Linked DNA regions of Cricetulus griseus. The protein of the gene in region 2 interacts with the protein of the main gene of each other region in a pairwise test. Links are inferred from orthologs where the notes say so. Each region holds a gene or a part of one and is shown on either strand. Other genes may lie near its edges.

The links.
Region 1: the proteins of Sh3gl2 (region 2) and Egfl6 interact in a two-hybrid assay, tested with the Homo sapiens proteins (2 studies listed by BioGRID and IntAct). The link is inferred for Cricetulus griseus from reciprocal best matches to the Homo sapiens genes SH3GL2 and EGFL6.
Region 3: the proteins of Sh3gl2 (region 2) and Atxn2 interact in binary tests that used the Homo sapiens proteins (3 or more experiments, as listed by UniProt). The link is inferred for Cricetulus griseus from reciprocal best matches to the Homo sapiens genes SH3GL2 and ATXN2.

What each region holds. Positions count from the first base shown.
Region 1 is NC_048604.1:101,321,081-101,324,734, reverse strand, and holds part of Egfl6 (epidermal growth factor-like protein 6), read left to right. Parts: intron 1-3,148; coding exon 3,149-3,469; intron 3,470-3,654.
Region 2 is NC_048595.1:62,445,588-62,449,067, forward strand, and holds the end of Sh3gl2 (endophilin-A1), read right to left. Parts: intron 2,259-3,480; coding exon 2,059-2,258; 3' UTR 575-2,058; downstream 1-574. UniProt on the Homo sapiens protein: Implicated in synaptic vesicle endocytosis. May recruit other proteins to membranes with high curvature. Required for BDNF-dependent dendrite outgrowth.
Region 3 is NC_048597.1:101,656,920-101,660,573, reverse strand, and holds part of Atxn2 (ataxin-2), read right to left. Parts: intron 807-3,654; coding exon 661-806; intron 1-660. UniProt on the Homo sapiens protein: Involved in EGFR trafficking, acting as negative regulator of endocytic EGFR internalization at the plasma membrane.

The DNA.
Region 1 (3,654 bases), on a different chromosome or scaffold from region 2:
TAGTGAGTTTGGCCTGGGCTTCATGAGGTCAAGATGAATAGTAGTAATTATGATAAAATAATAATTAACATCAACTTCTAGATTTATCTTTCTTTTTAATATTTTATTTTTTTATTATGCATGCAGCATTCTGCTTCCATGTACATCTGCACACCAGAAGAGGGCACCAGATCTCATAAGGGATGGTTGTGAGCCACCATGTGGTTGCTGGGAATTGAACTCAGGACCTCTGGAAGAGCAGTCAGTGCTCTTAACCTCTGAGCCATCTCTCCAGCCCCTAGATTTATCTTTCTTGTAATCCTGGCCCATTGTGTGACTAGACTTGCTTTTGTTTTGTTGTATTGTATTGTGTTTTTGTTTGTTTGGTTGGTTTTGATTTTCATTATTATTACATTATTATCATCATCATCATCATCATCATTATTATTATTAGTGTGTGTACATTATTATCATTATTATTATTATTATTATTATTAGTGTGTGTGTGCGTGTGTGTGTGTGTGTGTGTGTGTGTGTGCGCGCGTGTGAATGGTGTTTGAGGGGCATGCATACCATAGCATACATGTATACATGTGGAGGTCAGGAGAAACTTTCTGGAGTCAGTGCTCTCTGTCCACCTTTTTGTGGACTCTGGAGATCAAACCAGGCTTGTGCATCAAGAGCCTCTAATGAGCTGAGCCATCTCACTGGCCCTGTTGGTTTGATTATTTGTTTTGAAAAAAAGGTCTTGCTATGTAGTCTTGGCTGCCTAATACTCACTATGTAGTCAAGGCTAGCTTTGAACTGACTACTATCCTGCCATAGCTTCCTGAGTCCTGGGACTAGAGGCATGCCCTGCAACACCTGCTATAGACTTCTTTACTGCCCTGTCTCAAGTATCTCCTATGCCCTTTGGCACAATTCTCATCAGTATGGCTGTAAATCATATTCTGACCTGCCTCATATCCTGTGACCCCACCCAGCCAAGTCTGCTGATGACACACAGAATATCTTCTAAGCTGTGCAAGACTAAACACTATGTGCCATGACAGACATTCAACAGCACACACATAAAAGGTTCCTGGTATCCAAGTGGACTGTGGCTAGGTCCATTCCATGAAGAACTTTCAAAAGAATCGATTTTGAAGAAAAATGATGATGAGAAGCATAAATTGTGCCTGGAAATGTTTTTTAAAATGGGACATAGAGCTAGCCGGTGATGGCATACACCTGTAATCCCAGTTGGGGGGGGGGCACAAAAAGCAGGGGGATCTCTGTGAGTTCGAGGCCATCCTGGTCTACAAAGTGAGGTCCAGGATGGCCAGAGCTGTTATACAGAGAAACCCATTCTTGAAAAACCAGAGGAGGAGGAGGAGGAGGAAGAGGAGGAGGAAGAGGAGGAGGAGGAAGAAGAGGAGGAGGAGAAGGAGGAAGGGGAGTAGGAGGAAGGAGAGAGAGGAAGAGAAGGAACAGGGAAAGGGAAAGGGAAAAGGAAAGGAAATGGAAAGGAAAAGGGAAGGGAAGTGAAAGAGGAAAGAGAAATGGAAGAGAAGGGAAAGGGAAAAGGAAAGGGAAAGGGAGGGAGAAGGGAAGGGGAAAGGGAGGGCAGGGCAGGGCACATGAAACAAAAGTAGCTCCTCCAAAGAAGACTGAGGCCAATGAGTAGAAAGTCCAGTCTCTTGCAAAGCTGACTAGGTAATTTTTAAGAGTGGATCAGGAAACCTCACAGAGTCGTAATGGCAGAGGCATGGATAAGTATCCAGAGGGCTTTTGAGATGCCCAGGTCTCTGTGTCCCAGAACTCATTCTCCAGTTGATTGAAAGGTCTCTTTTGAATTAACTCTTTTTGAGGGGGGGGGTCGAGACAGGGTTTCTCTGTGTAGCTTTGGAGCCTGTCCTGGCACTCGCTCTGGAGACCAGGCTGGCCTCGAACTCACAGAAATCCGACTGCCTCTGCCTCACGAGTGCTGGGATTAAAGGTGGGCGCCACCAACGCCCAGCTTTGAATTAACTCTTAAGAGAATGGAAAAGAGTATGTCTCTATTCTTCAGAAAGCTTCCTGGTGGGTGAAAATCTTGGAATCTTTCTGTTGATTTAAAAAGTCATGGTTCCACTGAGAACCCATTCTGTAGTTTAAATCATATAACAGACTAGATAAAAAAAAAGAATTAAAGAAAGAACCAAAAAAATAACTTAAAGAAAAATATAAAAAACAAATATAAAAAATATTAAAAATCCCATGTTTTACCAGGGAAAACATAGCCTTCTGTTGATGGGCCTCAACAAAGTCCTGCTATGTCTGCCCTCCTTCCTTTCATATGGTATTTTAAATCTGAACAAAGGGGGAAATCTCAATACTCTCTCTCAAGCCATTCTGATACTTAGCCCTTCTTTTATCTATCACTGTTTTTCACTGACAAAGTTAGTGTGTTGCCAGGGACATAGGAAGTACAGCCAGAAGTGGCCCATCAATGATGACTCTCAAACCTGATCATTTTTAAATTTATTTTCTTCATTCTTTGACAATTTCATACACGTATCTAATGTATTTTGGTCATTTTGACACCCCCTCCCATTAGCCTCTCATCCCACTCCTGCTGAACGCCTTTATCCAAAGTCTCCCTCCTAGTTTTGTGTCTTTGTTGTTTTGTTTTGTTTTTTCTTAGGGTGGGTGGTGACCTACTGAGTTTAATTAATTAGAGTTGCTTGCATGAGCATGGGGTGAGGGTAGTTATTTACTGAAGCAGGGCAGTTTACCAGTATCTACACCATTGAAGAAAATGACTCCCCCCCCCATTAACCATTACCTACCAACAGCTCCTCAAAGAAGATGGGGCCTCATAAGCCTCTCCCCTCCATTCGTAATGGAATGTTGATAGGATCCATCTTGTGCAAGTTACCATAGCTAGCATGAGCTCCTGAGTGCAATATCCATGTTATGTTCAGAGGACAGTGTTTCACAGCACAACTGCTCATCCTCTGGTACTCATAGTTTTCCATCCCCTCTTCCATGACATTCCCTGAGATTTGGAGGAGGGTGTTATAAAGTTATTATTTGGGGCTGATTCTGGAAACATTTACTTCCTGCATTTTGACACTTCCAAAATGTTTGATTGTTCAAGAATGATCTCAACCAAATGGGAATTCTCCTGTCTTGCTTTTTGGTTTAGTTATCCCTGAAAACTCTGTGAAGGAATTTCTCAGAGCACCTGGGACCATCAAAGATCGAATCAAGAAGTTACTGGCTCACAAGCACAATATGAAGAAAAAGGTGAAGCTGAAAAATGTCACCCCAAGACCCACCAGTACACACACCCCTAAGGTTAACTTGCCTTTCAGCTCTGAAGAGAGCATTTCCAGGGGCGGAAACTCTGATGGAGAGCAAAAGAGGACGGAAGAGAGAAAGGGAGAGGGGCTGGAGGAAGAAAAAAGAGACAAAATCCTACAGAATGCGATAGAACAGGAGCGAAGCCTTCGAGGAGATGTGTTTTGTAAGTATTGCTTTCGTTATTCTAGCATTTTACAAAAACAAACATGATTCCTCATGAGAAATCAATGAACAAGAGTAGACAATTCCTGCCATAAGAAAGATGGCTTAGTTCCCTTTCAATATACTGATTCTGAAACATACAAACTTTTTATTTAAAAACATTTTATTACAATCACTTTATTAAAT
Region 2 (3,480 bases):
GTAGATATTGCTGGGAAAGGAAGAATCCTCCTTTTTTGAAGTTTTGGCCACTGGTAGGTTTTCCATGCTTCATGCATAGCCCCATACTTACACACATGATCAACACTAACTGGATTTAAAGACTCCAAGTTGGTTGAAAGGTGTATTGGGGGACACTTGAGAAGTTGAAGGAGGAAATAAGAGGGAGAAATGATATTTTTTCTACATACATATATGAAATTAAAATAAAGGAGTATTCAAAACAAAGCCAAAAGTCTGGCCAAGATACTTTATTTTCCTCTTTTTAACACTGTGTTCTCCTGCTGACATCACTGTTTGTTAAATCACATAACTTTCTTCTCTTACTTACCCTCTCCGCCAAGTTTTTCTCCTTCCTGGCATTACTGCTGCCAGTGCCTACTCTAGCTCACCTTTTGTTTCTTGAACCTCTCTCTCCTGTATGCAACAAGCTGGAGATGAGGTTGGGACCAGGTCTGGATTGGCTGCATTCAATGGCAATGGAGATCAAAGGAGTCTTAGTCCACCCACTGTCAGACCAAGGAACTGATAAATAAGGAAGAGGCAGAACCCTCTGTTTCATCTTCAGCAATATTTATTGGAAACAGCAACGCTTCCCATGGTGAGTTTATACATTAAGCAGGAAGATTTACCTTTCACTCCACATGAACCACTACTGCAAGTGGCATATCGGAAGCAGCACATTAAACCTCTGAAATAGCCTGTACAGCTAGATAAATAGAACTCTGGGTGCCTAACAGGACTTCCATGACTGAAGGGGAAAAGAACCAGAGAAAACACAAAATAAAAACAACACTGATCAGCTTGCACAGCACTGTACACACAAAATGAAGATGCGATAGAAGGGTTAAAGTAATGACTAAAGTGTGAAAGGGTTTTATATGCAGCCACATACTTAAACTGCTAAGCACAAAAATCATCTTTATTTGGTCCTCATTGAGGGCAGAATATACACAAATGATGTTCAAGGAACACAAACAAGATAAAAGTGGGAAGGAGCAACGGTCACTATGTCTTGTTCTATGAAGATGTGGGAAATGCTTACTAGTGTTTCTCTCCTATGTTTTTGTGGCAGAGGGACTCAGGAAATGGACTGATTCCTGGGTAAATAAACAGAGAAGGGAAGACAGCTGTTCCCCCTTCCTGTATCCTTCAGAAATGGGCTACGTATATATACAGCTTCTATACAGCAAGGAATCTGAGCTTGGAGATCAGATTCTTCCCAATTCATCCTGGAGAATTTTCTCTTTTCAGACAATATACACAATGCTCACCAACTCACTCAGAAATAAGTGGGAACGCCACCTCTCTAGTGCTTTAACAGAAGGGAGGGAAGAAAACTGGTATGTCTCAGAAGTAGGAGATAGATGATAGATAGATAGATAGATAGATAGATAGATAGATAGATGATAGAAGATGGATGGATAGATAGCTAGATGGATAGATAGATAGATAGATAGATAGATAGATAGATAGATAGATAGAAAGATAGATGGATGAGAACAAAAGTGCTTTGGACAATTAATACTTCTGCTGATGGCATCAAAAGTCCAAGTTGTTTAGGCCAGCAGACAATTTGCTGGTGGGGGATGCTTCACCAACAATTCTGTGACTCACACATTTAGGAAGGGAAAGTGCAACAGAAAGGACTTTCTCCTCTGTACATGGGGAACTCCAGACCTTGAAATGGCCCCTGGGTGAGAGACAATATCTTCAGTGAGGAGAGTTTTTCTGTGAGGTGGCTCACAGATTTATTATCAAAAACCGCACCCTCCTGAGAACTGTGTGAAGAGCAGTTCTGTAACCACTGGCTAGTCTCAGATGGAGTTTTAAAGCATGTGCCAGACCCACTGGCCTTGGAAGATACCGTCTATCACCAGGTCAACTGTAGGAGCACACAGGTCAACCCAGGACATGTGTGGGCTTGATGACTCATCCACTGCGGCCTGCATTCATGATGTGTTGGAAGCAGCATTACCAAAGCAGTGGTTAAACTTAACTATCTGGGTCAGAAGGAGGTGAGCCAGCCAGCATAAGATCCTAATGGGGCAGAGCAACCAGAATTTCTACATAGTTGATGGGGAAAAAGCCAGACTGGCCATGAAGCATCCCCTCATACCAGTTCTCATCAATTTGATTAGTGAGTGTGATGATATCACCCTCTTTAAAACCCAGTTCCCCTTCATTTTCAGGTTCAAAGTCATACAGGGCACGGCAGCAGGGCTGGTCCATTTGGGCACCTGAGAATCAGAGGCAGAGAGAACACAAAAAAATCACAGGGTATTTAACCAGCAGCACTTACTGCCTGCCCCACCCACCAGCTTGGTTCCCCATTCCCAGTCACTCAACTCCCTTCTGATCTTCATCTTCCTCCAGCACCCACTACAAAGCATCTTTGTCTCTACCAGCTTCCCTATGTTCCATTAGAGCTTTAAGTGTTGGTGAACATTCTCGGTTGACATGTCCAGAATGAAAAATGGTTACTTGTTTTTTTGTGTGTGGTAAGTATAACAGAGTTCATTAGGTTTATCTTCCTGACAATGCTGAGAGGTGGGAAAGCAATGGCTTTGGAGTTAATAATTAAATTAAGGTTAATTACAGGCATGGCCAAATCCATGCATCTTAATACTTTTAAAATAGTCTAATTAGTTACACAGACAACATTCTAAAACCTCAAAATCATAGGTCAGTTCTCACTCTTTAACAACTGCAGAGCCTTGAGAACTGCTGTAGCCACATAAAGCACTAGGCCCAGGGTTTTTCTCCATGTGACCTGGCTCAAACATTCTGTTTGCTTCTTCATCCAAAATTAAAGTTAACAGAATTTGCTTTAAATTATTGTGTCATCAAATGACAAACATTTTAAAATTCACAGTCTCTATTCAGTAAACTGGTATGTAACATACACATGTGAGTACTGGGTAAAAAAACACAGCCTACAATAATAATGTAGTGCATATTGCATAAATTAATAAAAATGGACTGTATCATAAAAGGGATCTCTTTTAAATGAGTAAACATATTAATACAGCATATGCATAAATACAAATACAAAAGTGATTATGGGCCCCACACTAGCTAGATGTCCTAATAAGGAAACAATATATTTTTTTACTTAGAGAAAATTAAATGTATGTCTTTTTCTGGGCAAGGAGAAGTGCAGTCATAGATAATTAACTCGATGAACTTTAGGGTCACTGCTGTCTGGGCCCCACACTGAGTAACACTGGGCAGTCTGAGCTGTGGACAGAGCTTCACCCTCTTCTTCATACCATGACAGCATGGTATAAAAGTTCTCCAATGCAGTAAATCAGGAGAATGGGAGAAAGCTGTGTATCTTTAACATCTGCATCCAGTGTCACGTGGATTCCCCCTTCTTTAACCTAGACAGTTTCACAGTTGGCAATGCCTGAAGAGAAAAACCTGGTCTGATTTGTATGTGGGCAGTTGAGAATGATCATG
Region 3 (3,654 bases), on a different chromosome or scaffold from region 2:
GAAGGCAGCAGAAGCCCCACCCAACTCTAGCCATGCCCAGGAGATGCAGGGAGAAGAGCATCATGGGCATCTCTTGTCCAGATGGTCTTTTCTGGGTTCTCAAGCCCAAGTCTCAGCCTGGCAGTTACAGGTACAAACAAGCAGAGGTGGAACAACCGACAAGATGTCAGGCTGTCAACTGCCCCACTAGCTAATATGACTAAAGAAGCCAACAGGCAGCTGGGCAGTGGTGGCCAAGCCTTTAATCCCAGCACTTGGGAGGCAGAGGCAGAGGCAGATCTCTGTGAGTTTGAGGCCAGTGTGGTCTACAAAATGAGTTCCAAGACACTCAGGACTATTACACAGAGAAACCATCTTGGGGGAAAAAAAAAGCAGCAGCCAATAGGAAAGCAGCATTATTGAGTGGCTTCAGGAATGAAATTCCAGACAGTACTTTAGCTTAAAGTTCTTTGTTAAGTCTAAAGTAGCTTTTCCACACTCATGTTTCCGGCATTTACCCCGAGGGTACGGCTTACTTGACATTTTCAAGCCCTCCCCTGAACCCACAACTACCTGCAGCTACATAAGGATGGCTGTCTCATATGTCCTGATCACACAGAGACGTGTAAGTAGCAGGGACAAGGAAGCAGCTGTGCATGCACAGGCCACGGCTCTTCTTACCTGAACAGGACTGGGTGCAGGATGATTTCCACCATGCTGGCTTTGTTGCTGTCCAGTGGGAGTGGCCGAAGGCTGAGGATGGGGCGTATGTGGATGCAGGGTGGCATTAGGATGTGCATACTGCTGAGCAAGGGAGCCCGTGGAAACTAAGGCAAAAGGAAAAGGAATGTATACAATTGATACATGCTGATGACCAATCCCAGCCCAATCCCAAAGCTTCACTGAATGCTTTCACAACCACTACAATCTAACCCATGCCACTGGCATTCTCTGCATCCATTTACATCAGGCAGACTGGAAAATAGACATAAGGGCTCTGCTTAACAAGGTCAGCATTAACTCACATGTTACAGCTCTGCACATTACATCAACATTGAGTTAATTTGAGTTTACTCAAAATAATCCTATTTCTTTTGGAGGGCAGAAACAACTCCAAAAATCACTCTGGCTCACATGAAGACAGGTACAGCCTCTCTCTCTCTCAAGGCCATCATTTGGCTACACTCACCATGCTACTGTCCTACAGTCTCAGTGCCCACATTAGTGAAGCTAGGGGCAAGGACAAGGTCATTGCCATGTCAGTCACAGCATCCATTCCACTCCTGATTCCTACTGAGGAGCTCCTAATTAAGCCTGGAGATGAAACTGCCCACCCCATCCTGTTCACTAGAATAACAAAGGAAACATGATGACCCTATTAAAATGTGATCACAAAGACAAAAGACCCAGGGGCAGGTTTTTATCCATCTAGTATGGGCCCCACCTTGGTACCAAACAAGATGAAGTATTAGGCAAACCTGTGCCTTCACAACAGCAGGCTGAACATGAAAAACCTGGGAAGGCCTCACTCACTATTCCCGTGACTCTGGATAGCTCATGGGTTCAAACTTAATAGCAAGCAGAAAATGGAGTGCTCTTAAGTCATAGGTCTCCCAGTACCAGACCCTGAGCCCTTCACACCCAAGCTGTTATATCACGTTCATGCTCTTCAGATAATATGTCAGCAAACACGGAATGTGGCAGAGAAACAAAAACAGAGTCAGCAAAGCTCCTGACAATGGCCAGCATGGAGGATGCTGGCTGTGTACCACCTCAGTGGTATAGAGGATGGACAATGAAGGACACTCTATTCCCAATAGTGTGGTCTTGAATGGTGAATGCATCTCAGAAGAATGTCAGAGCTGGGGATGACCTGTACACCAAACCACCAAGGCGACAGCTGTCACCAGTGTTCCTCAGTATCTGGCTTAGACTGATGGAGGTGGTTTTGTTTAGACCTCGGTCAAGCTTCCTAAACTGTAAGAGCCAACAGACATGGTAATGAGAAAACCACCGCAGCCTAATCTCAAGTGTTTTCAACGTGATGGTTTTCTGTAAGTCAGAGAGTCTCTGTCTTGTTAGAAGCCACCTATAACCATGACAGTACTTACAGTACTTTCCTTCTTGGAGACACGGTCTCCTAATGGAGCCTATGCTGCTGGATGATGATGACTGGTCCAAAAGTCTCATTCTTAAACCACATATATTAAAACCCCACCCACTGTTTATTGTTTCCTTTGTAGCAATCCAACGAAGGGACAAAAATCCTCTACTTACGGGGTTTCATAAAGATGGTTGGTAGAGAAGCCCAAGAAATCTGAAATTTCATTAGTAATTAATTCCTAAGTATTTAGAACACAAACAAGAAAAGGAAAAGGTGGGGAGACACAGATTAAGGCAGAGCTTTGCCCAGAAGGCCCTGTTCTAGCTCAAGAAGGGGAAAACAACAAATAACTCTGAAGGAAGCTCTAGCAAAATGCTGCACCACTTTCATCATGGAAACCACAGCCATTGCAGTAACAGTGATTATGTTCATCAAGTCTCAAAATTAAATTAGTCAACTGGAAAAAGGTCTTGATATTGCCGCCTGTAAAAAAAATTCAAGATTTTTATTCTTTTCTTTTTCTTTCACACCCCAAGTTGGCCTGGAACCCACCATCCTCCTGACTGCATCAAACCATACATACTCAGCCAGGATGAAATAGCTTTACTACTACCTCACATTTTATGCTCAGGATCAAAGCCAGAATATCCTGCACACTAAGTACAGAGTCTACCACGAAGTTAACATCCTTAGCCACATTTGTAAAATTTAGCAATTAATTAGAAGGAGGGACTAATGGAGCCTCAACTCTCATTATGTAGTTCAAACCCTCAAACTCATTATGCTCAGGATGACCTTGAACGTCTAAGAGAACTTAGCTTCTCACATGATGGGTTCCGATTCTACTACCACATCCAGTTTTGATTTATTTTATTATTATTATTTTTTTTTTCGAGGCAGGGTTTCTTTGTATAGCTTTGGAGCCTATCCTGGCACTCGCTCTGAAGACCAGGCTGGCCTCGAACTCACAGAGATCCACCTGCCTCTGCCTCCTGAGTGCTGGGATTAAAGGCGTGCACCACCAACACCCGGCTTGATTTATTTTTATATTCAACGTTCTTTCTACATTGCCTGGCTGGCTCCAAACTCTTAGGCTCAACCAAACTTCCTGCTTTAGCTTCTTGAATAGGCAAGACATACATTATACCAACTTTAACTATGCATTTAAAAACTTTAAAATTATTATTGATGTGTGTGTATGCTAGCTATGGGGTGAGAGTGAAGGAACATGACATGGCTTTCATGTGATAGTCAGCAGAGCTGGTTTTCTCCTTCTACCTTCTTATGGATTCTGGAGTTTTGAACTCCAGTTGCCAGGGTTGCACGCACAGTGATTTTCATAATTGAGCCAACTTGCTGGACCTATATATACATCTTTTAAAAAGATTTATTTTTATTATATGCATGTATTTTGCCTGTATGTAAGTAAGTTTGTGCAACACATGTGTGCAGTGCCCACAGAGACCAGAAGAGAGCTTTGGATCCCTCGGAACTAGGTATAGACTGTTATGAGCAGTCATGTGGGTGCTGGGAACCAAACCTGGGTCCTCTTACAAGAGTAGCCAGTGCTC